Oryzias latipes: one gene and its partners. The protein of the gene in region 3 interacts with the protein of the main gene of each other region in a pairwise test. Links are inferred from orthologs where the notes say so. Each region holds a gene or a part of one and is shown on either strand. Other genes may lie near its edges.

What was found.
Region 1: the proteins of pin1 (region 3) and angiomotin interact in binary tests that used the Homo sapiens proteins (3 or more experiments, as listed by UniProt). The two-hybrid records come from large-scale screens. The link is inferred for Oryzias latipes from reciprocal best matches to the Homo sapiens genes PIN1 and AMOT.
Region 2: the proteins of pin1 (region 3) and rbbp8 interact in binary tests that used the Homo sapiens proteins (3 or more experiments, as listed by UniProt). The two-hybrid records come from large-scale screens. The link is inferred for Oryzias latipes from reciprocal best matches to the Homo sapiens genes PIN1 and RBBP8.
Region 4: the proteins of pin1 (region 3) and foxp2 interact in binary tests that used the Homo sapiens proteins (3 or more experiments, as listed by UniProt). The two-hybrid records come from large-scale screens. The link is inferred for Oryzias latipes from reciprocal best matches to the Homo sapiens genes PIN1 and FOXP2.
Region 5: the proteins of pin1 (region 3) and meox2 interact in binary tests that used the Homo sapiens proteins (3 or more experiments, as listed by UniProt). The two-hybrid records come from large-scale screens. The link is inferred for Oryzias latipes from reciprocal best matches to the Homo sapiens genes PIN1 and MEOX2.
Region 6: the proteins of pin1 (region 3) and rai1 interact in binary tests that used the Homo sapiens proteins (3 or more experiments, as listed by UniProt). The two-hybrid records come from large-scale screens. The link is inferred for Oryzias latipes from reciprocal best matches to the Homo sapiens genes PIN1 and RAI1.
Region 7: the proteins of pin1 (region 3) and ankrd40 interact in binary tests that used the Homo sapiens proteins (3 or more experiments, as listed by UniProt). The two-hybrid records come from large-scale screens. The link is inferred for Oryzias latipes from reciprocal best matches to the Homo sapiens genes PIN1 and ANKRD40.

Annotation. Positions count from the first base shown.
Region 1 is NC_019872.2:12,828,728-12,833,092, reverse strand, and holds the start of angiomotin, read left to right. Parts: upstream 1-1,503; 5' UTR 1,504-1,933; intron 1,934-4,365.
Region 2 is NC_019878.2:11,812,837-11,816,902, forward strand, and holds the start of rbbp8 (DNA endonuclease RBBP8), read left to right. Parts: upstream 1-1,223; 5' UTR 1,224-1,351; intron 1,352-1,556; 5' UTR 1,557-1,580; coding exon 1,581-1,680; intron 1,681-2,498; coding exon 2,499-2,541; intron 2,542-2,641; coding exon 2,642-2,737; intron 2,738-2,914; coding exon 2,915-3,006; intron 3,007-3,236; coding exon 3,237-3,309; intron 3,310-4,066. UniProt on the Homo sapiens protein: Endonuclease that cooperates with the MRE11-RAD50-NBN (MRN) complex in DNA-end resection, the first step of double-strand break (DSB) repair through the homologous recombination (HR) pathway.
Region 3 is NC_019859.2:22,494,222-22,498,615, reverse strand, and holds the start of pin1 (peptidyl-prolyl cis-trans isomerase NIMA-interacting 1), read left to right. Parts: upstream 1-1,512; 5' UTR 1,513-1,543; coding exon of another isoform or gene 1,544-1,568; 5' UTR 1,569-1,613; coding exon 1,614-1,671; intron 1,672-2,553; coding exon 2,554-2,636; intron 2,637-3,526; coding exon 3,527-3,635; intron 3,636-3,716; coding exon 3,717-3,827; intron 3,828-4,394. Other genes in the region: ubl5 (ubiquitin-like protein 5), read right to left, coding at 272-309, 407-490, 955-1,016, 1,316-1,419, 1,544-1,568. UniProt on the Homo sapiens protein: Peptidyl-prolyl cis/trans isomerase (PPIase) that binds to and isomerizes specific phosphorylated Ser/Thr-Pro (pSer/Thr-Pro) motifs.
Region 4 is NC_019881.2:5,166,045-5,169,662, forward strand, and holds part of foxp2 (forkhead box protein P2), read right to left. Parts: intron 3,460-3,618; coding exon 3,367-3,459; intron 770-3,366; coding exon 580-769; intron 1-579. UniProt on the Homo sapiens protein: Transcriptional repressor that may play a role in the specification and differentiation of lung epithelium. May also play a role in developing neural, gastrointestinal and cardiovascular tissues.
Region 5 is NC_019874.2:31,203,953-31,208,272, forward strand, and holds the start of meox2 (homeobox protein MOX-2), read right to left. Parts: upstream 2,901-4,320; 5' UTR 524-2,900; coding exon 1-523. UniProt on the Homo sapiens protein: Mesodermal transcription factor that plays a key role in somitogenesis and somitogenesis and limb muscle differentiation. Required during limb development for normal appendicular muscle formation and for the normal regulation of myogenic genes.
Region 6 is NC_019866.2:12,420,633-12,424,250, reverse strand, and holds part of rai1 (retinoic acid-induced protein 1), read left to right. Parts: coding exon 1-3,618. UniProt on the Homo sapiens protein: Transcriptional regulator of the circadian clock components: CLOCK, BMAL1, BMAL2, PER1/3, CRY1/2, NR1D1/2 and RORA/C. Positively regulates the transcriptional activity of CLOCK a core component of the circadian clock.
Region 7 is NC_019866.2:13,503,856-13,507,998, reverse strand, and holds the start of ankrd40 (ankyrin repeat domain-containing protein 40), read left to right. Parts: upstream 1-1,249; 5' UTR 1,250-1,682; coding exon 1,683-1,816; intron 1,817-2,415; coding exon 2,416-2,564; intron 2,565-4,143.

The DNA of each region.
Region 1 (4,365 bases), on a different chromosome or scaffold from region 3:
TTCATGTAATCACTGTGTGTGCAATTTCTTGATTGTGATTGGCTAAGTGACGTTTTACACCATTGTAAACACATGGCAAACCCTGTCATGCGACCCATCTTTGACACTTTGTAGCTCATTTCTAAAATGTTAACTGTAAATGACAGTGATAGCAACCATTTCCAGGACAAGTGGGAAGGGGCATATTTTTCAGTAAAATAGGAAACAACTATGTCTGCCTCTTATGCCAAGACACCGTGGCTGTTTCAAAAGACTATCATGAGGGACTACCAGGCAAGACATAGTAACTACAACAAGCCGACTGGGACTGAACGGTGTGCACAACTTGCAGTAATTTTTGCAAATATGTATTTAAATGTGTTTGTTTTCTATGTGAAGAAATGAAAAGTATGCTATTACAAAAATGTTCATTAAATATTTCACTTGCATTTAATGTTACTAAAATAGTTAATGGATTGTCAGGCTGAATAAATGGCCCTCAAATATTTTCACATCACCAAATCTGGCTCTCTTTGCTAAAAGTTTGCTATAGACCATGTATTTGTTATGTAGGAAGTAGCCTATACTAACTGAATACTTCTGCATACTAAATTGGAAAACTATATGTTTATAATATAGTATATAAAAAGCAAACTTCAAGTATACTGCCTCACTTTTAGGATGGACTATACTTGGGCTAAAACTTTAGTATGTTAATGTTTAGGGTTAGGATGTAGTGGGTTGCTAAAATGGCCCTTTTTGTGTATCTACTCTACATAATCAAATGGCTTTTCTTTATTTGTTTGAAATATATATATATTAAAAAAATTGATATAGGGTAAAAGTTCTTGTTAGAAAGAAGTACAGTGGATCATTATCCAAATGCAATGTTGCGGTGGGGTCAAGTACTTATATCGAAAAATGTCACAAAATAATTTGTTTTTGCTTAAAACGTTGGGAATCTTTGCTGAGCCACCCTGGGTACGAATTGAAGATAAAGCGGTTCAACTGTGTCTAAGATTCTGTAGAACCAACTCGTTCTTGTTCCAGTGTCCCACGTTTTTCTGAGACACCCCATTCGCATTCGAATCATGTTCTAAGTCTAAATAGTTTGGGTTTTTGATAGGAGAAAACAACCTCCGGGTGAGTTTGGCACGTGCATTGACTCTTGACTTTTCCTACTTTCCGCGCGGGCTCCTGAAGGCAGCGGAGGAGCTGCAGTCACAAAGCCCCTTTGTCATTTTTCCGTTTCTCCCCTCCTCCCCCCCTCAGGTCGGGGCAACTTTCTTTTCTCTCCTTATTGCTGTGTCATGGAGGAACGTAGCATTAGTACAAGCCGAGTTGTTTCAGCTAAACGAGCACATCAAAGCACTTTTATTAAACTTGTTGTAGAGAATGCACATATTTATCTTTAGAAACCACTCCCTCCATGTTGGTCTTAATAAACTAATAAATAAGTGCGTCGTAACATAAGGTTTGGAGTTCCAGTGAGCTGCCCCCTTGTGTGTCTGTTTTAAAAGAATGTGACTGATTAGATTAGGAAACGGGAGTAGGACGGCTCTCCGTGCTCCCTTACAAAAAAGGGGAAGAAAAAAGTTTTTTTCATCCAGTTTCCATTAGATGTAGGAGGACGTTTGGGGAGGGAGGGGGCTGGAAATTCCTGTCATGCTGCAGGGCCAGCCTGGAGGGAGCTTCCTGCCACTTTTTTTTTTTTTAAACGTTCTTGTTCTTCCACGGCGGAGAATGAAATTTGATGGGAAGGAGCGAGACGTCGTGTCCGCGCAGAAACTCATGGAGACCTCCGGAGACTTCCAGGACTGAGCCGCCTCAGGTTTCCTGCGGAGGAGTTTGGTTGAAGAGAAGGGGGGCACTGCTTCTGTCCAACGGGAAAGGGAAACGGCATGTTTAGGTGTTTTCAAGGATCGGGGAAGTAGAAAAGAAGCTCCGCGGAAAGGTAAAAACCTAAGTATGTGTGCGCCGGGAGAGCGTTCACACTGATGTGAACGTCTCGCACTCCTGTTCCGGGTCGTAAAACTGCATTCCTCGGGAGTCCGCTCGCTTTCTTTGTAATCATCTACTAGAGACCAAACTGCCGCGAACAGCTTAAACATGACAGCCATCTCTGTTCACTCGCTGCCTCTTCAGGGATGCTTTAAATGTTTTTAGATTTTCTGGAACTTTAATGAATCAGAAGAAACTTTTAGGCCAGATGTTCAAAGTAAGACTTTGCATGTTTTTATGGGCCTAAAGCTCTAATGGTGGCACATTCAAAGTTTGATTGGACATCTTAGGTTTTACTTACCCTTTCACCCTTTAAAGACGCTATAGGATTGATAATATTTGGTTTTGGATTGTTAATATTTAGAAAGTCTGTCATTAAATACTAAAAAAGTTCCTCCAACATCCAGCTGAGCATCTTTATGACATTTGCTCCACAAGGTGAGGAAAGGACAGATGCATGTAGGGTAAAAATATGGAAGCCCAACAGAGAACACACATTTAAGGTTGTATATCAATTTCAAATTTACATAAAATAAATTGTGCTTCAATAAACAAGCGTTTATGGAGCTGTAAACCCTTTCTTCAAAGTAATTTACTTTTTTTGCACACTTTAAAACTTCTCCAGCGATTGGAAATATTAGAGGCCTTGTTGGTTTCTTCAAGTGTTAGGGTGTCGAGATCATTTTAAAAACAAAATTAATGAAAGGGAGAATTCTTATTTTTATTTTATTCTTATCTTTATTTATTTATTTAAAAACAACTTTATACAAGTGGAATGGGGAAGTTTACTCATCAAATGACTCAACAACACAAGGGAGATTAGTGATCTGTGAGAAACGCAGTACACATTTTTGCCAAATCATGCTTTATTAAGTTCATATGAAATACTAGCCGGGTGTTCCGTTTCGTTCTTCATGGCTAGAGTCTGGATTTTCTTATCCCTTGTACCCCTGGTGGAACCCACCTGGTTCTCCAGTAGAGGGGGCAGGGGCGTCAGAAAAACGAGCAGGACACCTGTTTTCAAGGACTGGGATTGGACGTGCAGTGCCGTGGAGCTAACAATGACTGTGCATGGATCTAATAGAGAGGCGGTGTGGTCACATGACCCAATGGTTTCCATGAGGTTAATTTGACTCTAGTTTTCAACTCTCATTGATATTAGGATAATAGGAGGCATTAGGGTCTAAGGGTAGGAATGCCCAGTTTAGTTTAGTCTGTTTAGTTTTGTTAACGATTGCCTGTTGTATTTTACGACTGATTTCATGTTCTGATACAATTACCGGTATAAAGCCTGTTGAGACAACTATTTTGTATTATTGGGCTATATAGATAAAATTCAATTGAATTAAATCTTCCATTGGAGCCATTGCTTAAGTACACGAAAAGCTGACCTTCAATAGAGTTGTGACTTTGGAAGCACAATAGAAAGCATGAACAGAAAATGTTTGGTGTAGAGGTAGAGTAACAGAACTGGTTGCAGTTTGGGTTCCTGCTTTGTCTGCCCATGTGTCAAAGTGTCCTTGGACAAGACACTGAACCCCACATTGCTCCAGGAGGTTTGTCTAGTGCCTTGCATTGCAGCTCTGTGACCATGAATGTGTATGCACGGGTTGGCAGGACTTGTGACTGTATGGTCCTTTGGGCCTTAATCGGATTAAATCAAAAATTCAACTTGGAAGTTTTATTCATTTTAGTTTTCTTTATTTAACAAAATAAACAAGCCTGCTAGTTTGGGCTGCAAGACATCGTCTCAACAAATGCAATTCAGATTTGCAGTTAAAGAGGATTCTGGCTGTTTGCTACATATGATCAAAAAACTAAAAAACAATGGCCCAACTATTAAGCATGGTGGAGGTGTGATGATTTAAGTTTGATTGACACCTGTCCTTTCCATCTTGTCATTATTGGATTGACTGTGAAAGTTCCTATATAGCAGCCTCTTTTAGAGTCCATTGTGAGGTCATCTGTCTAACAGCTAAAGCTTGCCTGAAAGTAGGTCATGAAACTGGCCATTGACCAAAGGTTATGAAGGTTAAGTTGTTTAATGTTGTCATAGCAACCAATGAGACATGAGAGCTAACGGCTGATCTGTGAGCTCTGGCTGAGTTAAGAAAGTGCTCCTCTTAGCCAGACTGCAGATTCCCGTTGCTTTTTTTCTTTGCATCCTTTGCTTTTGTATCTGCTGGTACCAATGTACCCAATTATGCCGTCATTGCATCTACAGTAGGAAAGAAGAATGTCACAAAACAATAAAATGTTCAATGTCTTCATTAGTTATCAGTAATACAATTAAATAAATTAGATTTATGCGGTTCAATATAATCTTTTAACCATGTTTTTTTAAATGAATATACTTTGGCAACTCACATGCTGAAATGTATTACT
Region 2 (4,066 bases), on a different chromosome or scaffold from region 3:
CTCGTCTACATAGGATGTAGTCCACCTGAGTACTCCTACCTCCACTTCTGTATGTCACTCTATGTTCCTCTCTCTTCTGGAAGTAAGTGTTGACTACAGCCATTTCCATCCTCTTCGCAAAGTCCACCACCATCTGTCCCTCCAGATTCCTTTCCTTCACACCAAACCTGCCCATCACCTCCTCATCACCTCTGTTGCCCTCACCAACATGCCCATTAAAGTCTGCTCCAATAACAACTCTCTCTCCTCTGGGGATACTCTCTATGACCTCATCCAACTCACTCCAGAATCTCTCCTTCACTTCTAACTCACAGCCAACCTGTGGCGCATACCCACTGACTACATTCACCATCACCCCTTCGATTTCTAACTTTAAGCTCATCATCCTGTCTGAGACTCTTTTCACCTCTAGAACACTGTTTACAAACTCCCCCTTCAGAATCACTCCTACCCCGTTTCTCTTCCTATCAACACCATGATAGAACAGTTTGTATCCTCCTCCAATACTACGTGCCTTGCTGCCCTTCCACCTTGTCTCCTGCACACACAGTACATCTACCTTCCTTCTCTCCATCATGTCTGCCAGCTCTCTGCCTTTCCCTGTCATTGTGCCAACGTTAAGAGTCCCTATTCTCAAACCTATGTTCCTGCCTTTTCCCTTCTCTCTCTGGCCACGGGCCCTTCTGCCTCCCCTCTTTCTTCGACCAACAGTAGTCAAATTTCCACCGACACCCTGTAGGTTAACAGCATCGGTGGCGGTCGTTGTTAACCCGGGCCTCGACCGATCCGGTATGTCTAAAGTGTTGTGGATGATTCGCATGGTTATTTTGGCAATTTTTACGCCGGATGCCCTTCCTGACGCAACCCTCTCTATTTATCCGGGCTTGGGACCGGCACAGAGGCAACTGGCTTGCAACCCCTGTGGCTAGCCATTATTAACTCTGTAAAGGCCAATAAAGAATTGAAATGGAATAAATGTTTTCTCCTTAAAACTAAATTATATATTTTTATTGCTGTGGGTAAAACATATTTGTGAAATTTGGCAACATATTTATTTGAATAGTTAAAAAAATAGATTAAGTCCTCATACATCAAACCGAAGTGGTAAAAATAGTTTCCACTAAATTTGATGTTCATCATCAGCGATTCTTTTAACCACCACTCTTTGAACAGCAGGAGGCGCTCGAGCGTCCAGTCTGCTACATTTTCAGGGCCACAAAGAAGAGTTCCCAGCATGCACTTCTTCGGCGCGGAAATTTCAATGGATTTTCAATGCGAGATGAAAGTCTGAGGAGAGAGCTCACGAAGGAACAAGTCTGCCGTGTTTCGGCGTTCAACCAGCTCAGTTTTTGTAAGTACGTTTGTGAAAAGCTGCGTTTAAATTCACCGCGTTGTTTGGAACAAAATAGTGGGTTTGAAAAACTAATACTTGTAAAACTTCTACTGAACTACTAGAAGTTCTATAAATACACTTTTCTATGTACTGGAGGCTGACATGGCGTTTAATAACAAATAAATATTCACGTCCATCTTATTTTTTTCTTTAAATTATGTGGGCTGTTTGCGGAGAGGTGTGAAAGATGAGTGGATCAGGTGACAGCAGTGGGACGATCAAAGCAGCTGATCCCTTTGAGGATCTGTGGCGGCAGCTGGGAGAGTGTCATCATCACGTGACTGGAGGTAAACGACTGCTGGTTATCGGGCAAGGAGTGACACTGATAAACAAGGAATGGATCAGGAAACAAGTATGGATTTTCTTTAGAAAAGACAATTCTAGCTGTATAAAAACACAAGAACAGATTAAGCAGTGTAGTTTTTTTAATTTTTATTTATTTTATTGACCAATTGCAACATCCAGAACAAAAAAAAATGCAACAATTATGTACATATAATGTACATTACAATTCTGAATACAGAAAAAACGTGTTACATCCTTAGGAAGATTTTAATTATTAACAATAATTACAAAAAGATTAAGCAGTGTAGTTTTTTTTTAGATTAGCAGTGTAGTGCAGATCCGGCTTTTACCGGCCATGACGTCATCTGCGTGAGCCTGAAATCTCCTGCATTTTTAAAACAAAGTTAAAAAACAAACACTAAATTTTATTTTCAGTGTTATTACAATATGTTTTCAATAAAAATAATTATTAGTGTACAAATAAATGGGTGATTTTTACCTGTACTTTAGCAGAAATGTACACTTCACCTATAAAACTGTAGAAGAAGCATTGTTTGCTTTTGTTCAGAGCTAAAGGAAGGATAAACTAAAACACACGGAGCCAGAATTGAATCAAAAGGTAACAAGTCCTTAGTAAATGAGTAAAAATGTGATGCTGGTTTGTTTGCATTCAATCAATGGCATAAAAATGCAAACAAAAAAAAAAGGAATTGGCAACTGAAAGCATTACATGCAATTTGGTAATTTACTGCAGAAACTCTTAAACAAAATAAGAATAAATAATAATAACTTTTTCTATGGGAATAACTTTTTCCCATAGAGCTGGAAGCAAAGGTGAGCCGGCTGAAAAAGGACCGCTGCCTGTAAGTCCTGATGGATTTTTGTTTTAAGGAACGCCAATAATCATAACGCATTCCTTCATAGTTAAGGAATGGCAGTCAAAGTGACGTTTGTTTGTTGCAGAGATGCTCAGAGACTTGAGGTGTTTTACAACCGTAACCAGCATCTGAAGGAGGAGAACAAAACCCTGCACGACACCATCCACCTCCTAGAGGAAAGGTAACATCCTCCAGCGTTTGTCACACTCTGGACCAACAGAACCGGCTACGTTTGATCATCCGGTTTTGCTCAATCAACAGAGGGTGCTCCGGTCTGGGTGTTGGGGTCACCAAAGGGGGGGTAGTTTGCTAAAGAGAGGCAAGAAAAACAAAAGTTTTGTTGTTCTTTGTTTTTCAGGCTCAGAGCAGGAGAGTGCGACCGTTGTGTTGTCTTGGAGGAAAAGCTGAAGAGCAGCCTGGATCAGAATCTCAGACTTCTTGATGAACTGAGTGAGTCCCAGAAGGAGCTCCTCTCAAAAATAAAAACACGTGCACCATCTTTTTAAAATAAAATCAAAAGAGGATGTGGGAGGTGGATCGGCTTTCAGTTGCAGCCAATCATGTCTGGAGGGGAAACGGTTGCTGCGGCTTTTCCCTTTTTGTTTGATGAAGCGCTGATGGAGGTGGAGGACAGCCGTCTTGGAATGATGGTGCTGAGAAACTTTTAACTTCTTATTCAGGAATTGAAAGAAACAACCTGCAGGATGAAAACAGGAAACTCCGTGCTGAGATACAAAAGCTGAAAGCATCGTGGTGAGTTTTCTGTAAATCTTCTTCCTTTCAGGGAAAATGTTGCCTCCAACCTTCCCAAAACGTACCTAAATTTGCATTTACCTAGTACCCAGTCAAAATGACTTTTGGGCATTTGGGGCCAAAGTCTCTTATGGGTCCAAAAAAAAGTAACAAACCAAAACACACGTGTGTGGAAGATGTAGATTTTGAATGGCGTTAGCGTAGCAAGTTTGCCAAAATGGCGTTTCCCTGTTGCTCACATAGTTTTTACTGGAATATTGTGAAAATACACGAGTCGACAGCTCAGGCTGAACAAAAACAATGTCTGATTGAACATATTAGGAATGCGAGGGTGGTTAACAAAAAACCTCTGTTGCTAAGGAAATCCCAAAAAATTATTTTTGCCTGTTCTTCTAAACGTGACTCAAACATGTTCGTCACCCCCAGGCGACAAAAAATTAAAATGGTTGCTATGGAGGCAAAACCAACCGAAGGCTCCTTTTTTTTTTTTAGTTTTCATGAATTTGTTATGTGGCTCTGACTGGGGTGGCAGAGGGAGAGTAAGGGGGGGGGGGGGGGGGTAGCAGCCGCTCAGCCATCATAGGATGGCGAGGGCAGAGGCGTGTAGCGTCTGCTGCTCACGCCTTCATTTTATTTCAATATCTAAAAATGTTTTCCTCATTAATGGTAACATTTAAATAAATAAAAATATTTTCTCTAAAATTTATCACAGAAACGTGTCTTATTTTTTTTCTCTTCATTTTTGGTTTCTAAACAT
Region 3 (4,394 bases):
TTATATTTAATGTGGATGTTAACAGTGGTATATAAAAATTTTTTTTACTAATACTAGCTCACCTCAGTTAAAAAATCCAAACATAATGACAAAGCTTAAAAATATTTTTCAATTTTATTCAAAACTTCAGAATTTAGAGTGATAAGAGCCACGTGTGGCTCCAGCCTAAGACCTTGCTTTTTAGGTTTTCAAATACTAAAGAAATTAGAGGGCAAATCGGTCCTTTCTGCATCAGCTTAGTAAAGGTCAAGTCAGTGCGTCAAAAGGATACAGTCACCGAGAGACACGTGATCCTTGAAGATGGTGTACCTATTAAAACAAGAACACATTTTCTAAGTAAAGAAGCCAAAAAGGGCAATGTTCATTGTGATGCAAAGAAGAAAAAGGCAAAGGAAGGCAAAGTTACCATTTCTTTAGTACAATTTTGTCATATCTTGTTCCCGTCTGTGCTGCAATTAGTTTCTTCAGGTCTCCAATTGTGTCCTCTGAGCTGTGCAAGGATGTTGAGGAGCAATTTGGTGACGTGGAAAACCCTTCAAAACAAACACTTCCAGCTTTCATGTCCTGAATGTTTTCAGTCTTTAGATTTTAAATAGAGCTGCATGATGGTGCAATGGGGAAGGCCCTGGTTCCAAACCCTGCTGGGACCCTTCTGTGTGGAGTTTGCTTGTTGCAGAGAAACCCCATGCACTCCGGCTTCCTCCCACAGTCGAAAATACATGATTCATAGGTTACCTGGTTATTCTAATGTAGGCCCAAATGGTTATTCTAATGAACCCCAAATGGGTTCATAAGGAAAGGGTCCATCCATAGCACGGTTACTGTGCTATGGATGGACCATAGCACAGTAACCCCCCCCCCCCTTAACTAATCAGAACCAGCATGTTGCAGTGCAGTATTAACAGCCAAAACATCTTTAGCAGATCAGCAAATCAAATGTGTTCAGAAGGATACTTGCACTTGACCCGGACTTTCTTCCCAAGACGATCGTTGCAAATCACCTCAATCATCGTGTACTGTGAAAAAAAGAGGAGCTAGTAAGCTGAAATATTGGAGTTATGAACAGGAACGACATTAATCGTTCACACCACTAACATTAAGTCAAAAGAATGTGTAATTCATTTTGCGTCAACAGCAGAAACTAAATTGACGATGAAATTCGACCAGCCATGATTTTTTTAGCTAACCCGTTAGCTTGTGCACACAACTCTTTTAAATATATAAAACATAAATTAGATGGCGCCTATTAAGATCAACTTAAGGTTTCAAAAATGTTGCCAGACGTGTTAAAAAGATCAAAAAGTGTAAAACATACGTTAAATGTAGCCCAAGATTGATGGATTTTCTTCACTAGTTGAAACCTTCTGGAAAGCTCTCGGTGCTCATCACCGTAGAATCGATGTCGCGTGTTATTGTCCTCTTAACCAATTAGATAGTAAGAAATATGATTGACAAGAGTTGAAGACCAATAGTAGGACGGACAAGCCGTTTGGGGGCGGGCCAAACTCAGAAAACAACTTTTGCCGTAAACCGACTGTCGTACCTGCTGAGCCGTAGCCGTGTCGCATCGTTTGAACGTTGAATTCTAACTTGATAACGTTGCAGCAGATAACATGGCAGACGAGGAGAATTTACCGTCGGGATGGGAGAAAAGAATGAGCCGTAGTTCAGGTAAATATACATAAGACGGGGGAGGCTGAATGTATGAGCTCAACTGCAGCCCACGAGAAGTTGATTTAGCTTATAGCTAGCCCGTGCATCGTGGTAAGCGAGGCTTTGTGAACTTGTTTCAGGTGAGGCTGTCCTGCTAATGCATGCATCGGGGTTACCGACACGGTTTCTATCAGGAAAAGTGCCGCTGGGAAAATACGGTTATGCTACGGTTTGCTTTATAACTAGCTTTTCCCCCACTTTTTTTTCTAATGGAGATGTTCTGCAGGGCCGCCGTTGCATGACGTCACCTGGAATTTGCGCAGACGCAGCTTAGACCTGATGTCTTGAAAGTATTTTGTGAATATATACGCACAGTAAAACTGACAATTTGGGGAATATTTTGTAAACAAGATCACTTTACATTTTTTTCATATATAGGTAATTATTTAACTTTGAGAAATCTACTAAACTTTCAGATCCCCCCCAAAATGTGATTTATTTCTGCAGATACGTCTGTTTATCTGATTTCTCTTCTTCTTTTACAGAAAATCTGTTTGGGTAGATGATTGCCTTGTAAAAACTTTAGGTGTTTTTTTTTCTGTTTTATTTGTGTGTTTCTTTTCAATGGAGTAAAAAGGAAGGATTGCAAAGGAACAGCTTTTTGCAGACCTATAAACTAAATTGAACACTGTCAGCAGTTGATGCATTGGTTTTATTCAAAACCATGCAACTTCATGACCAACTACTATGAAACAACAATAATACCGATACGGGGAATTGTGAGTGCTTTTGCAGTTTTAGTGGGTAAGGTCATGTAAACTGTAATTTGATTTTTGTGTCTTCTAATGTCTTGGATCATTCCAAAGGTGCTGATCAAACTGCTTTCTTTGCTGTTTGTAGGCAAGGTGTACTACTTTAACCACATCACTAATGCCAGCCAGTGGGAACGTCCTGTGGGAGATGGCCGTGGAGAGCCAGATAAGGTGGACTTCATTTTGTGTGTTTTATTAGCAATACATTTAGGATTGAAATCATAATAAATTCACTAAAGAAGTATTTGTAGAGCTTGTGATAGTGATGTACCGGTAATGATTAGTTTTAATGACATTCATATTAGGGCTGCACCATATGAGGAAAACTCGCCATATTAGTGATCAATATTGCGACGACGATAAAACATTCATGAACAAATAGCAAAACGACTAAAAACATCATTTCCATTTTACTGCAACAGTTTAATTTAAATAAGAGTCAACATAACTTAAATTATACTCCAAATGACCCTCGTCTACATAGGAGGCGAACGTCTAACCTAAGAAAAGCTTCAAAATAAATAAATAAAAGAGCCCCATCTGATTGGTCAATTTATTTGATTCGTTAAATACTCCAATATTTGTTTTAGCACATTTAAAGTAAACATTTATTGCTATTTTTGACGACTTTTGCAATATGCGAATTGCACAGCTTGAAATTGCGATAATGATACATTTGCGTTTTGTTGTGCAGGTCTAATTCATATGATCACTTGTGGTTTCCAGTACGATTTTATGGTCAATATTGGTTCAATCTAACTAACACTTGGTTGTTATTATGTTATAGTAAAGTAAACCGTCCCTTAAGCCAAATGGTATTTCCCGATATGGAAATAATATATTTATTTTAATTTGAAACAGTTTTATAATGTAATAGATCGATTCAATTAACAAATGCCTCAGACAGATTGTTCTGCTTGGATCGTAGGAATATAAATCGATTGATTGATCAGGTCAATTAGTCATTACACCCCTGCACAGAAACATTTTATAACACTTTCTAACAAATAGGTGATGATGTATTGTGTATCTTTTTGTGTTTCCTCCTTTCTCTCTCTCAGGTGCGATGCTCCCACCTCCTAGTAAAACATAATCAGTCTCGACGTCCTTCTTCCTGGAGGGAACAAAATATAACACGAACTAAAGAAGAGGCTATAGAGCTTATTCAGAGTAAGTAAGGCAGAGGACAGAAACACCAGATCTGTTTCAAATCTCTACTTAATCTGTCTTTTTTTTGGTTCTGTTTTCTAGAGTACATAGACGAAATCAAATCTGGGCATGAGTCTTTTGAATCTCTAGCCTCTCAGTTCAGCGACTGCAGCTCAGCTAAGAACGGTGGAGATCTGGGACTGTTTGCCAGAGGTACCAACATCATAATGGGAATATTGGGTTTTCTTAGTTTTAGTTCTTCAGCTTTTATGTAGTTATAAGGTAGTATTGTCCTAATATTTACAGTTTTTTAAGTAAAAATGCTTTCTAATTTTAGTTAAAAAATGCTTAATAATTAACTCTGTTTATAAGGTTTCCTCTCCAGCAAAAGCCTCATAAACTTTTTTACTCTGTCTATTTGTTGGTCTCTCAACATTGCTTTGTTGCATTTGCCAGGACAATTCTTATCACTTACTCTGGCACGGGTTGTCTTTTCTGTTGAATCAACCCACAAATGCCAAACTGAAGAGAAATTACACATAATGCTTATATTATACGTATTAGAAAACATGCAATTTAGTTTTAGTCTTCCTAAAATACCCAATTTAGTCTAAGTTGGCTTACGTCTGCATGTTTGCATTCATGATCTACATTTAACTCAAACCTCATCACCCACCTGATTAAAAAAAAAAGATAATGACTAGTAGCACTAACAACTGTAAAGTTTATTAAACATAACAATGTGTCTACCGTATTTTCCGGACTATAAGTCGCCCTTTT
Region 4 (3,618 bases), on a different chromosome or scaffold from region 3:
CCGGAGGTCCCGTTTTCAGCTTTTCATTATTCAGGCAAACGTTTTTCTATCTTTGTCATTTTGGCGGCAAACAACTTTGGCTAAAAAGGAGAAAATTAAGCTGGAATTCTTCCCTTTCCCCCCCACCCAGTATTTCCTTTTATTCTCACTCCGGTTTTTAGTCAAAGCAGTAAACAACAACAACAATCAGTGAAGGGGGGGGGGGGGGGGGGATAGAAGCAAGGATGGAGAACAACAAACAAATATGGGCGAACAGAGAGAGAGAGGCAGACAATACCAGCCTTAATCAGACCAAGAAAGGCAGCAGCGGGAAGGGGGAGGGTCCTACCAAAACATTAATGTGGATCGTTAGGGCCAAATTGGAGGAGAAAGGAGCATACCAATGAGGGGAGGCAGAGACAGACACACTTAAAGATAACGCTAAAGGAACACAGGTGCATACAAATTAGATCCACAAACAAGACATGCTGAGTAGCGGAAAACGGGAGAACGGCGGCCAAACATGGAGGGAAACTGCTGAAAACCCCACAGGAAGTCTGACTCCTGTTTGCTGAACTACGCTCCACTTCCTCTGCTTACCTGGTGGGGGCAGGGTCTGTCCGGGCAGGGCGGCCTGGCCGGGGGTGGGCCCCGGCAGCGAGAGCAGGCCCTGCCGCTGCATGTTGAGCAGGTGCTGCTGCTGCTGGAGCTGCTGCATCTGCAGGAGCTGCTGCTGGAAGACGAGCTGCTGGGCGGCCAGCTGCTGCTGTTGCTGCTGCTGCTGCTGTTGCTATAGAGAGGAGGAGGAAGAGGAGGAGGAGGAGGAGGAGAGGAGCGCAGAGGAGAGGTGGGAGGGAAAATTACACAGGAATTAACAGCTGAGATGACGGAGAAGAAGGAGCTATGCAGTGGCGCTGGAGTGGATGCAGAGCCTGTGATCTGAGTTTTCTGTAGCACAGAGCAAAGAGAGGCCAGTCTCAAGTCCGTCTGGTTAATCGTCAGTAGCTGTGCATGATGTCTCTGCTAGAATTCTCCTTCCACGCCCTCGACCTTCAACAGTTATGTGTCTCGCCCTCACTGGTGGGTTGTGCTACTAGGGGACATGCAGAGGGATGCTACATTCACACCGGCCTCGGAATCAAGTTTTTAAGTTCCTTTTCGAGCTCTACGTTCAAAAACGCTCATCCAATGACCGTGCGCTGAAAGCTAAACCAGCTGAACATTGACCAATCAGGGACTCCGGTTTAGTATTGACGTATAGATAGTGTCAATCCTATGAAGTGGGTCATAAAAGAGAAATTGTTGATTGCCGTTTGTGTTTATATGACACCAAGTTTTTTATATATCGAAAAAGAGCTGGGAGAGGCAAAGCTTGGGGCAAGATTTGCACCGCTTCCACAATTCGCACCAAGCCTCTTCCAACCGTTCCAATGCGCTGTGAACAATAAATGGCAAAAAATATGCTCAAGAACTCAAGTTCAGTGCGTTTTTGAACGCACCACATCCCTGGTGTGTGCGTAGCATCAGACATTTCTGAGGAAACAAAAGCCCACCACTCCCTTTTAACTCCTTGTTTGGTCTCACCAACTATTTAGCAAAACCCAGAAATAATTAAAATTAAAAATAAAAGAAAATAAGCCCCCTCTGATCATCTTTGATTTACTGTAAAGTCATTCCAAGTGGTCTTTTAATCCAGATCTTCCTGTTTTAGTTTCTGCAGAGGGACAGCAGATCATTTGAAATTCCCCACTCAGTTGTGGGCGGGACTACTGGCATGGAGCAAGCCCACCCCCTCTTCCCGTCACCCATCTGTTCACACGTTCTCTTGATAGCGTACAAAGATCTACATGGGTCTCGTCGTCTACAGGTGGACGTGTAAGAACGGAGCGAAGCAGGGAGCTTGTGGCTTGAATAGGTTCTTTGTCAAATAGTCTTTTGTCATCTGCTCCCGATTCACAACAATTGGAATAAAGAAATATTCAGAAATGCAAATTTTAAGCTTAATGTTCTTTATATATGAGAAATATGTCACAAGAACATGTTTAAGTGGTTCTTCCAGTCTTTGGAAAAAGTTAGAGAGAGAATTTTAGGAACCCTGACAAGCTATTATGCTGAAGGTCTGGCAGCCTGATGCACCTGCAGATGTACAGAGAAGGGGGGGGCGGAGGGTGGGGGGCACTCACTGGAAAAAACAGGCTGCATAATGGAGTGATGGAGAGAGGCTGTTTGCCTCCACACAACCCTCCAACGCACCTCAAGAGAAATAAGGGGAGCAATTTTCTATTCCACGTTGGGCGGCCGGGGCCCCGAAAACCCATTCACAATCAAACAAAAACAAAAGCACCCGGAGGTCAGACCGGCGGCATGATGGGATGCTGGAGGAGGAAGAAGAGCAGCGCGGAGGAGGAGAGGAAACACAAATAAAAGGATTGTGTTTGTGGAGTCATTGGAGCAGTTTCTGCGGCGAGGACTAAACATTCTGCTTTCCTTTAGCAGCCAAGGGAAGAAAAAGTTGGAGAGCTGAGTCACTGTACGAGGTCTGCTTACCAAACCGCACAGGTCAGTGGCAATAAACCTCATCCCAGTTAATTAAAAACCGCATTTGAATGATTTTATCGTCACTTTACAAAAACGGTAATAGAAATAGTAAAATACAAACAAGCTGTCAAAAGAGGTCTTATGGAATTTGACGATTAGCAATCGTTGCGTTGATGCAAAAATGAAGAAAGGCTGAACAGGCGGATGAATGAGGGAAAAAATTGGCGATTTAGGAAGTCAGAAGTCATCCAATGAAACCTTAGTCACATGCACCCCATATGGGCGCTGCAGGTGTCTGGGTTGTCCACGTCCATGAAGGATCGTGGAGAGCGGCGCAGTCATCTTTCAGGGACCTCGTACGGCCACTTTAAGGGACGCCGCGCAAACGGAACGTCTGATTGTCGTGCGTGTGGTAGGTGTATCGTGAAGTATCTGCACGGTGTATCTAGGTTGCACGTTGGGCGAGTAAGTGCTCGTAGGATGCACACACGCTCGGATGATCTCATTTTTAACAAATCAGGCTGCACGCAGGGACTGCACTTATCTGTTGAACACAAAACTAACTGCAGGTTAAAATGCAGGGGAAGTTAAAAAAAAAAGAAATCTGCACGACACACCTGCATCCTACCTACTTCACCCCTGTGTGCTGTTAAAGTGTTTGTTAGGACCTGTCATCTGTAAAAAATCAAAAAACAAAAAAAAGTTCATGGTTTGCCCTATGAGCATCACAGTTTTGCCCGTTTTTTGCCTGCAGACACCCCTTATCAACCCTCTGAGGGGCAGTTGTGACTGGAGTTTCAGGCACAGACTGTTGTGTGTCTTTGTTGTGTCTGTCATGATGCTGCATACCTCTTTGACCTGTTTGCCAGGGTGCTGCTGCTGCTGGAGGAGCTGCAGGTGAAGCTGCTCCTGCTGTTTCTTATAAAACTCCTGCAGGTGTTGCTGGGAACACAAACACACACAAGCATACAGACGTTAGAAAAGACTGAGGGGAAAAACCCTAATCTGAGATGTAGATAAGGAATTAGAAATGTTGGAAAATTTGGAGGGATCTAAATTAAATCTTCCAATCCCCAAAAATCTTCCTACAGCCAAAGCGAG
Region 5 (4,320 bases), on a different chromosome or scaffold from region 3:
TCTCCGCCTCGGCGGGCGACAGAGTCTGCCTGCCAAAGTCCGCCGGCGCACAGGAGGCCCCCGAGGGGGTGCTGCCGCCACCCAAACTGGGGGTGCTGGCGCACAAACTGGGCGCACCCGGATGGCCCAGGTCAGAGGGCGCGGGCCCGCTGTCGTGGGGTGCGTGTGAATGCGGGTGGCAGAGGCCGTGGCGCGCGCCGCCGCCAGGCGACGGCATCGGCGGGACGTGCCACGAGGTGTGGTGCTGAGGCGGGGGGTGATGCTGCTGCTGGGGGGTCAGGTGGCCACGGTGGGGGTGGTGGGGGTGCTGCCCGTGAAATAGGCCGTCGTCGGCCGGGTAGCTGGAGATGACGCACGGCGAAGGTGAGGAGGTGGAGGAGGAGGAAGACGAGGAGGCCAGGTCGGGGTAGGAGATGTGGTCCGAGCGTCCGTGCAGAGTCAGGGGAGACTGGGTGAAGGCGGAATGGAGGGCCTGCGGCGGGGCGTGGGGGCTCCGCAGGCAGCTGAACAGAGCGTGATCCATGGCGCCCCACCAGAGGAGACAGAGGGGGGTTGGACGTGAAGGAGCTCAACCAGCCAGAGGAAAAACAAACGTAAATCCCAGATGCTGCTCCTTTTCCCCGTACTCTCCCCAAACTTCTCCTGCAGTCAAAGCTCTGAAATGTGGCGTCCTGCGGTAATCCGGAGCGTGCGGCCGCTTGCCAGGCTTCACAGGGTAAACAGTTATCCCGGGACGGGCTGCAGCTGAGCCTCTCAGATGTCAGGAGGAGCAGGGGGCTGGAGCTCCAGCCTGGAAGCACGAGGAGGTTCGGAGGAACTGCAGAACGAGGGGAGCCGGCTGAGGGGATGTTATAAATAGGGTGTAACGTGAGAGGGAGGCTGGGTCCTAGACTGCAAACGCGCTCCTGACCACATACACGCCATCACCCTCCAAAACGCAAAGCACAATAAACGTGTGGCGTTAAAGCGGCCGAGGACGGAAAGACGGCGCTTCACTTTGGACCTGACCTCCGCTGGCCTCTCGGCGTTCTTTGAGATCCTGATGGTTCGTGGGCGGAGCTGGCAGGAGGTCACACGGGGGGAAAGTGGGACACCATGCAGAGGTTGGGAGGTGTCAAGGGTTAATTTGCCCCGCCCCCCTCTGTTTGTCAGGTTTGACCTCTTTAAAAAAGAACTGTGTGGATGCTGGCGGAGATGCTTGTTGTCTCCATTAGCCGCTTCCTGCGAGCATTGTTCTGAGGGACGATGGAGTCCGGAGCGGGCCTGGCGTGCCAAACACGTCCAGCGCCGTCCCGAAAGGAAGCTGCAACATTTAAGTCATGACCTGCTGCACCTGAAACACCAGAAAAGTTCGGCTTTGATTAAAAAAAAAAAAAGTTTTTGAGATGAAGTATGTTTCAAAAACATTCAGAACTTCTGCTTTGGATCAAACCCCCGACATCCACGTCTGCTGCATCCCGACCCGGGGAGGAAAATGGGTCGGTCCCGGTCAGAACAGCAGCACAAAAACTCCACGAACTACAGCAAAACCACAAAACACGGCTTTAAGTTTAGTGTACGCTCAATTCAAGACAAAACTAACTAACTAGTAACTTTCCTGTAACAATTTATTTAAATACAATAAAACCCGAATATCTTGAGTCTCCAGAAAACATATCTAATGAAATTAAGTTTTTACTATTTGCTTGATTTAAAGAAAACTGGAAAGTCTCATTTGACTCATAAAACACACATTTGTCAAGACAAAGTTAGCTTAAAATGTATTTTGCTCTCATAACAAAGACAACACATCAAATTTAGTGTTTATAGATCATTTCAGGCCTAATGTAGTCTCTAAGGCAGAACAACCCAACCTACTAAGAACAAAGTTTTCTAGTTTCTTTCTAGAAGAACATTTTTTCCAGTGCATGAATTTATCTTGAGCTTTTACAAACTAAAAGTCTTGAAGTACCACTTTTATTGAAATCTCTTGAGAGTTCAGTCTGGGAGTTTTCCGTTAGAAACAAAACAGATTCAAAAAGTTCAGGGGTGAATCTGACAGGACTGAATCTGGATTTAGAGCGGCCTCTCTGACTGTTGACTCCGGACTCGAACCAGCCGTTTCCTCACAGCTGCTTTTCATAAAGCAAAGTCGCCAAAGTCCTGTCTACCAGCCGGGGTGGGGCGTCTGTACGCAAAGCGCCACCCTTAAACCCGGCTGAGGACTTATCTGACAGATGGATCCCTGTTTCTAAGCATGGACCTGTTTCAGGTCAGCATCCGTGACCTGTGGTGCGCCTCAACAATCCGGATGCAGGTCCTCTTCCGGTTTCACTGTTTTATTAACATTTCAAAATAACAAAAAGAAAAAGTCCACATATGCAGATGATGCTGAGATATATTTTTATCTTCTATCTTCCCCTGCCCTTCAGTTACTTTTATGAAAACAAAGCTGTAAATTTCCAATCTTTTAAATTAAATTTATAGAAAACCATATGGAGAAACGGGTGTTATTCTTTTATTACTTTCGACGTCAATCTGTGCTCCACATCAGCGTTTATCCATGGAGAACGTTAGAAAACGCTTAACTCACTTCGGTTTTTGTTTTTTTAAATTTCAGACTGAAGTGCTGCGTCTCGGACGACCCAGAGTCAGAAATCACAGAGGTGGTTCATAGAAAAACTGAATTCAGACTTTAGACTCCTCAACGCTCCTGTAATGCCATGCTGTTGGTTCCAAAATGTCCCGAAACATTTCCGTGGTTTTTGTTTTCTAGTTGGTTCTTTTTTTGTGGTTGTATTCAAAAAAACGACTCGATGCTGTTGAGTTTTCCCTGTTTTTCTTATGAAACGCCTATTATGGTTTAATAAATAAAACCAAATTTGTAAATGTTAATAGTTTGAATGTTTGTTCTGCCTTTATGATGTCTTTAACAAACCCAGTTGGGGGGGGGGGACTGTTTTTCTCAAATAATTTTTACATCTTCTGCTGCTGACATTTTTCCAAATATTTTAATAAAAATATCTTTTAGTAAAAGACTTCGCTAAGGATCTGCTGCTCATAAAGCCGTTTTAGGCATTTTTAAGTCAAAAACGTTTGACTTAATAATGTTTTTGACTTCCAAAGAAGAAGACAAGGAGGGAAAACAATGAACCAGACCAATTCTAAATATGGCTTTGTTTGTTTTTATTAAAAGTCGTGTTAGCTTTTGGAAAATTAAAGTTCCTTCTCAGAACTACTGTTGTCAATTCTTTGAGAAATAAAAAAAATAAAACTTTGTGAGACGTTAGTTTTGTCCTGAAAGTCCGGGCAGAACAGAAACCAACCGGAGCTGCCGTTGGATCAGAAATGACAGAAACAGAAAAATCCTTCCTGTGAACCAAACTCTCCGCCCTTCCTCTCAGCGCTCTGCGTAAATCAAAGGCATTTACTTTACAGATTAGCCTCAAAGAATAGATAGAAAACAAATAAAATTGATGGCGGTTTCAGAGAACTCGCAGCTCCGAGACGTTTTACGGGGGGAGCGCTCACAATAACTGCCCGCTCTGGGGAAGGACTTGGCCGGCCCACAGCCTGAGAAAGGAAATTAATTCCTCTTTGAGAGAAAATGACTTTAACAGATAGCTCAGCGGAGACAGGCGGTAACTCTGCTCCCCGCGCCCCCCCAGGCCTTCTGAAGGCAGCGGAGGAAAGGCACCTTCACTGAGTGAGCGTCAAACTCTTCTACTGTTTATCTTACAAATAAAGGCTATTAGCGGGTTAGTGCGGGTCGTATATCTGCCTGGACTGAGCAGGTATGGCCGCACACGTGTTTTCAATCCGTCCGGGCTGTGGGCTGCACCCGCCTTACAGACGCTGCACCAAAGCCTGAAAGGTTTCGGCGTGTGAACGTGGACACGTCCACCAGGTTTTACTCTTTGAAATCACCTCAATGCATTCTTTGAAAAGTGGCTTCGACTGCAGCGACACAACCGTCAGACGACCCCCGATGGCCCCCGACGCCATTTGTTTTTCCAGCTCCTCGCGTGACGACACGTGAAATGACACAGGGGGCCACGGGGGTAAGGACCGGAGCACAGGGGAGGTGAAGGAGGGCATGTGATGATGACCTTATAGGTGGACCTGCTGCTAAAACCTGTGGCTGTCACTCACACGGGTGGGAGGGGTGGCGGCGAGCGCGGCGTGCGGCAGCTCTGCAGACCCTTCTAAGAAAACGGAGCTTCAGTTCAACTGTCGGTGTTTTAAAATAAACACATAAAAGTTTATTTAACCTAAATATGTGAGGGAAACGAACCATAAAATAAGACTTTTTTTTAACTTTGTTATTGACAAATATTGTTC
Region 6 (3,618 bases), on a different chromosome or scaffold from region 3:
CGAGAGAGTCAGCCATTGGTGACACTGTCCCTCAGTCTCAATCTGCCATGCCTGTATTTTCTGCTCTCACCGAAAAGGCAGCACCTCCGGTGCAGGGAAGGGATCATATTGATCACAGTGATGCTAAAGTGCTGGAGCCAGACTCTCCTCAACTGCCAGGGAAGTCAATACTCCCGTCAGCTCCTTCCTGGGCAAACACGCCACCTTCCCCCAAAAAAGGTGATGAGGATTTAGAATCGGGCATCAGCTGCACTAGTGCCATGACTCCATTGGCTAAACCAGAGCCGGTAGCTCCATCTTCCCAACCAAGATCATTTGGACGTAAGCACGCCAGAGGTCGACGGAGAATAACTCATTCAGGTGTGAGGATACGGCAACAGTTACGTTTAGAGAGGGAGGAGGAAAAGGATGAGGAAAGAGCCACACCTGCCTCACAAATGTTGGACGTGACTCCCAGCAAGACTGAGCTATACTCAGATCACACTGATCTACCACATCAGGACTCCATTGTAAGTCAGACTTCCAAAATAGTGACAGATGGTTTTCGTTCAAGAATGTGCACCCGCTCGTTTAATGCAACAGATGTGCAAACCAAAACTGAACTCAACTTGAAGAGAAAGCCCGGCCCAAAGGCGGGTTCAAAACCTGGACCAAAGCCAGGAATAAAACCTGGGATGAAGCCAGGGCCTAAGCCTGGACAAAAGTCCATTTCAAAACCAGGACCTAAACCTGGACCAAAACCTTTACCAAATGAAACAGAAATACCGCTAAAAATTGACTCTGTTGTTAAACGTAAACCAGGACCCAAACCAGGTTCAAAGCTCAGATCAAAGCCTGTTTCAAAATCTGTTACAAAAACAGTCCCAAAACCTGGACCTAAACTGACTCCTAAGCCTGGACTCAAGCTTGAGGATGCTTTGACACCAATAGATATTCCCTCTATTAAAGGTGTAGTAGGTCGGCCCAAAGGCTCCATAACTAAAGCAAAAGTAGTGCAACAGGAAGTCACAGTTGAAGCTGTTGCAGGGCAACAAAGTAGAGGTAGAAAAAGCCTTAAAACCTCAATACCCCAACTGAACCAGGATACTAAACCAGCGCAAGCAGACAGCCAAGTACAACCTGAGGCAAAGGCAGTAGAAAATGAGAGTAAGAACATGGTCTTGAGATCCAGAAAACCCCCAAAAGACAAACTGGAAAATGACAAAAAGAAAGTCACACAAGGAGACACCCATACATTATTAAAAATTAAAGTCAGGGATGTTTCTCCAGTAATAGAAGACAATATTGATGTAGAACTAACTCCAACTACTGGTTCTGACATGGTTAAAACACCAGATGCTTCTGACACACCTGCACCACCTTCACCATCAGATTTCCTCCTGCAATCTCAGAAAAAGACCTCCCCACCACTAAATGTAAATCAGCGTAAATCTACCCCAGAGACACCCATCAAGAAAAAGAGGGGTCCAAAGCCCAAACCAAAAATTGCACCACCTCAAACAGAAACACAGGAAGAGGTTGACCCAACACTCACAGAAAAAAATGTGCAAGGTCCCAGAAGAAAGCGCGGCCCACCCAAGAAGACCTCCACAGTCACCCTCATAACCAAAGACATTAGTGTCACTGACGTCGTGGGTGATGTGGCAGCAAATCCTCATCAGTGCCCTACCAAAACAAAAGTTCTCCCACCACGTAAAGGCAGGGGTCAAAAATATGAGGCTATGGTACAGAAGATTACTTCGCCAAGCTCCAAGAAACACATGCCAACACCTCAGCCAGACAGCATTCTAATGGATGATGCCGCAAACAAAGTGTTGTCTGAGAATGTTCTAAAGGAAAGTGAAAGTCCAGTTCAGACAAACAATACTGAGATGTTAGAACCTGGGAAAGAGGGGTCAAAGCAGCAGAAAGCATCAGTCATTAAGGAAGAGATGACACAGGAAAGAGAAAATCAGGAAATGACTGAGGAGAAGTTAACAGAAGGGTTAAGACACAGACAGAAGGATGAGGTATCAAATAAGACAGAGAAGAAAGAGGAACACTTTAAAGTAGACACACAGCAGGATATCACAGAGTATAATGCTTTGGGTTCAACAGACACCCACTTAGATGTAGGAGGTTTAGGTGAGTTGACACACCAGGCATCGGAAAGTGTAATCACTGCTGCCCTTAAATCCACTAGAGCCAAAAGGAAGAGATGGGCAATGGTAGAGAGTGCAGATGTTTCAGTTGTAGCCTTAGAAGCCGGAAGCCTAATAGTCACAACCCCCAGGTTAGCAAAACAGAGGGCCATCAAAAACAACCACGAAATGCACCTTAAACAAAGAAGGAAGAAGAGAAAAGATCAGGAGTCCACAGAGAAAAGTGATACAGCTGAAGAAACCAACACTGAAGGGATAAAACAAGAAGAATCAGCAGATGAGAAAGTGACCCCTATGGAAACAACAACACCGCTGTCAGTTAGCCAGGATGAGATTCTAGAAAACCCCCAGTTTATCAAAACCGAAATCGTTCAAAAACCTCGAAGAGGACGAAAACCATCAGCACACCCGACTAAAAGAAAAAGAAGCAAAACCCCAATAAAACAGTTACCTGTCAAGCTGCTGAAAGTTCATAAAAAGCCAGGCCCAAAACCTGGCATGAAGGATGCTATTGAGGTAATTGAGGCAGTTGTTAGAGCTGCTGGTTGCGAACAGGCTAAAAAAGAAGAGAGAGAAATAGAAGAAAGGACAAGATTGGAAAGGGAGAATCCAGACAAGGAGGACACGGGCATCATGGGTCCTGTGGTGACTGCAACGGAGAAACTGACAGAGATCATTTCTGTGAAAAGAATCAGGCGCAAACCGATCTATCAAAACTCAAAGCTGTCTTTTTGTCCCTACGTACGAATCAACAACTCCAGGGACTTTTCATCCTGGTGTGCCATAGTCAACAAGCCTGACGACGCGGTGGTATTTCAGAGGCGGAGAAAAAAGGGCATTCTTAGAATGAGGAATCCTTTCACTGTGGCTAAGGTGACGCCACACACTGCCGCCATGATACAGGGGCCTATGGTCAATACAGATATATCTGGTAGGAGTCTTACATGTTGTCTTTGTGGAAAGCCAGCAAATTACAAAGACCTCGGGGATTTGTGTGGACCATACTACGCAGAAGATAGTGTTCCGCGTAAAGTTTTGACCATCACACACACAGAATCCTTCAGAGAAGAGTCAAACACAACTTGTGGCAATGACTGTAGCACTGCTGAAAAACCAGGTGCTTCGGAGAACGACGCCGAGGTCAACGTGGACAAAGAAGGAAACGCAGAAGCATCATCTCAAGAGCCCAGCAGCAGCAGGCATCATCACTGGCGCTATCGAAGAGCAGAGAGACCTGAAAGGTCATGTCGGGAAGGCGCTCCACGAAGATTAACGCTTCGAGAGAGGTTCAGGAAAATGAAGCAGCTTCAGAATGTCAGCAAAGGGGCTTCAGGGGACCAAGAGGGAACCAACAGCATCTTCCAACGGCTGCGAATGGAAGCAGAGGCCAGTGAGCACTGGGCTCATGAAAACTGTGCCATTTGGACCAAGGGGGTAATTATGGTAGCTGGGAGACTGTATGGACTGAAGGAGGCTG
Region 7 (4,143 bases), on a different chromosome or scaffold from region 3:
GTACAACTGGTGTTTATGTCAGCCTTAAATTTAGTTAAATAATGCTTTGCTGGATAAAATCTGTGTAGGAGTTTAAAAGAGATTTCTTTGACTTTATTTGTTAAGAAGTATTTTTGTGGTAAAGACCAGACTTTTTTCCAATCAATGTTAGAAGTGAAATTAGCCTGGTAGTTCTTCTGATTTCCCCGTGTTTTTTTCCCCAGGCAAAAAAAATAATATATAATTTTTTTATAATTTAATTTTCTGCCCCCCACAAGGTATTTCAGGAAATTCTAGTCTCGAAAAGTTTGGCTTCTCCTGCAGTTTTTCTTTTGGTAAGAATTTAAAACGAGCCATTAAAGGGCAAACTGTGTGCTAATTAGGAGCTATAACTTTAGAATACTTTCAACTAGTAATGTCAAATCAAACGTTTAGCAATTCAGTGCAAACAGGTTTTTTCAGTTGTCGGGTGGAAAATAAATGTGTTTTTAGCTAGGTGTTGCATTTTTGTTTTATTTATTTTTAAATATATTTAATTTACTTTAACCATATACTTTTCTTTGGCTTCTGGTATTTAAAAAATATCATTATTAAAAGGGTTTACATTTTTGAGGGAATTGAAAATTTTGTAGAAACGCTAACCTGTTCGGCAGCAGTTTCCGGTTTGTTTTGCAAAAATTCTTAAAGTTATGTTTAACTATTTAGGCTTATTTAGAGCACGTTTCTCTCATTTTCTTGAACAATGATTTAAGTTTTATTTATTTTTTTAAATTTGCTTTATTTGGCTTCAGCTTAACTTTTTCATATTTACTTTTTCCATGAAATTATTTTAATCGTAATTATTTTGTAAACTATGATGTTTATTTTAATTATATACATGTATTATTTTCAGCTGTGAATATATGCATTCATAATATTATACTTACTTTGTTTTCAACCCCATTATTTAGTCAGCCAAGGGCTCTAATATTTCCATCCATCATTTAAAATTGAATTTTACATTTGTTGTTAAATACTAGTCAAATTATTATTTTATATTTTATCAAGAAACAATTCCCAAATAACGTGTAGAAACTATAATTATTTTTACGATACAATCATACACAAGCCGAGACTGACAGCAGTGTTGCACCTGTTACCATGCTTGGAAGTTCGCACTAAATTTATCATTTTATTCGTGACGCTGAGGGCAAAAACAAAGAATCTGACGTTAAGTTTGGTATTAATTAAAAAGTAAAACACGGAAGGTTATTGCGTGAAGTAACCGCTACCATGGGAACGAACATTTGTGCGCAGTTGTCACATCTTAACGTTCCCCCCCTAGTGAGACGGTGGCGTTTTACACCGGCAGACCTCTGACTGTCACCACAGTTTTAGGACTGAACGAGTGTTCAGGGTGACGACAGCGCTTCTGTGGCGTCAACCAGCAGCATACATAAATACAAAGGAGAAAAGTAGCTGTTTCCCCGTTAAATGGCGGCCACGACGAAGTTACGTTAGCTGAAGCTACAAGCTAACACCTCCTCAAGCTAGCCAGTAGGTAAGGTTAGCCGGGGTAGCTACAGTTAGCTGGAGAGTCTGTTCAGCCCGAGCTGTGTGCAATCACTTGTTAAATCGGTCGTGGATTGTGTTTTGACAATTGATGTAAATAGCACGGCGGTTTTGCACCATATGATCTAACATCGCTAGTGTTTTGTGGCAAAATGTCCACGACTTCGTTGGATAAAGAATTACAAGAGAGGCTGAGAGAAGCATCTGCTATCGGGGATCTGGACGAAGTGCGCTCGTTAGTGGAGAGTGGAGTAAACGTCAATTCCCAAAACGAAATCAATGGATGGTAAGTATTACGAAAATGTTTAATCTGACCAAAAATGAGTCCCCAGTGTTGTTTTACGATCAGCAATTATCACGTGTCCTTGATGTAACGAGGATTAAAAATGCTCACTGTTATCCTATTACACAAAGCAGAGCTTGTTAAACCGCCAACATTGCGACTTTTTCCTTTGCTTATCAAATTGTGTTTTCACTATCAGCTTCTGTCTGATTGTCCAGGACTCTAACTTCCAGAATTGTTGTCTTTATAATCAGTGTTCCTTAAGTCCCACTCCAGTTATATTTCAATCTTTTGTAAAAAAGTTCAGAGTGGTCTTTTAATTATGATTTATAGGCAAAATCCAAAAACCTGTTGTGCTCTAGGCCATAGTTTCTGCAGAGCGGAAATTAGAAAAAAATCACCTCTGCTGATATCCCATCATCCCTTTGTTTACACTTTCTCCCTTTAGCTTACAGCCCACACCTAACATTAGTGGTGCAACAAAAACGTCAAAAACACAATTAACACGATTTTCTTTGGAGTGGGTCTTTCAAGTGAAAATATGTTTATGCTATGGGCCACATCTCATGTCTAAATGCTTTTTCTTTCATTGTTTTCTTTAGGACATGCCTGCACTGGGCTTGCAAGAGGAACCATAAGCATGTAGTGACCTATTTACTAAGTTGTGGGGCAGACAAAGAAGTCCTCACGGCTAAAGATGAGCTGGCGTCTCAACTAACATCCAAACCAGAGATCAAGCGACTGTTAGGCGGTAAAGTTCTTCTAATTACTTTTTTTATTCCCCAGGATATGATATCCACTCTGTGACAGATGAGACGTCAGTTAAAAAATTGTATCTTATAGAATACATTTGTCTTTGGTTAATACACTCCAAAGTTGAGCTATAGGGTTTGTCTTTCTATAGTATTTTTCAGCAGTAAAATGATATCTACATGTATAAATGATATTTACATGTGGAAGGAAAAACTTCAGTTAGTTGCAAAAATATTTGCAAGTCCACAACATTTATGTACATATATATATTTAAAAAAAAAAGGTAAACCTGTAGAAATCTAATTTTTCCACTTGTAAAAATATTTTCCAGGTGCTCAGAAAAGTCTTAATCTTGTGTTTGGTTCACAAAATTCTTCACGCTCAAGTTACGTCCTCATACTTTTGACGCGAGTTTTGCAGATCAACCAGTCAGCACCTTTCTTTCCAATCGGTGTACCAGCTCTGCAAAAATGTTGTATTTCTTCATTCATACGTTTTTTTTCTTACAATTTTCATTATTAAAACCATAATTAAAAATAAAAGTCAATACTAGAAATGCGTTTTCATTTTCAAAATGAAGCTGCATTTGTTGACTCAAAATTATAAAATGAAAAAGCAATCCGCCAAACCGCTTTTTCATTTTCTTCTTCTACATCGCTTATTCTGTCACTTAAAACGCTGGGGCGATGGCTTCAGTGCTCGCTGTTCTACTGCGTTGTTGGTCCTACCAGCTAAAGTTCAGCATGGCAAAATCTGTGCTAGAGGGAGGCTGCAGCTGTCCTCAGACGGCAAAATTAGCGGGAAACAGCAGGAGATGATTTCTAAATGTTCTTTAACTATTGTTACGATTATTATTAAGGACCTGTTCGCTCATGCGGCCAGTGCTTTATTCTTGGCTACAAGGACCGGGAAGAAAGGTTAGCATTAGGCTAAGATGTGCCAACAACAACATTTAGCTGTGATGAACTTAAACTCCTTGCGGGCGATGCCGCGATGTGTCTCTTGGATGTAAATTTGTGGGAATAACATCAGCCTTTATTTTGTCTTGACAACACTGGAACCACAAATTCACATGATTGTTTACACGGTTTCTCAGGACTGCGCAGACTGACCGCGGTCCGAAGCCTCCTCCGGACTTGCTTGGTGTTTGCAGGCCGGGGAGGGGGCTTTGTTATGGTGTGCGCTCCGTCCAAACACGAAGCTAGTCCGGATGAAGCTTCGGACTGCAGCCAGACGGACTGCGGTCCGAGGCTTCCGGACCACAGAAGGCGGAAATGCTGCTACGCCGTCCGGAGAAACCGTGTAAACCATCAGGAGCGCACACCGTAACAAATTCCCCTTCCCTGCCTGCAACCACCAAACTAGTTTGTAGTTTTGTGTTAATTGGAGCAAAACTGTAAAAATTCCAGGTTTTGATTAACAAAATAAATCAACACAAAGGTTGATGTTCACAACTCAACCTACTGAGAATAAGGTGAGATTCAGTTAAATTTAGTCTGCAGTGTTGGAAAAATTATTATTGTTATAAATGCAATTTTGCAAGTGGCCAAAACTTTTTAAACATTTAAAATCGTTTT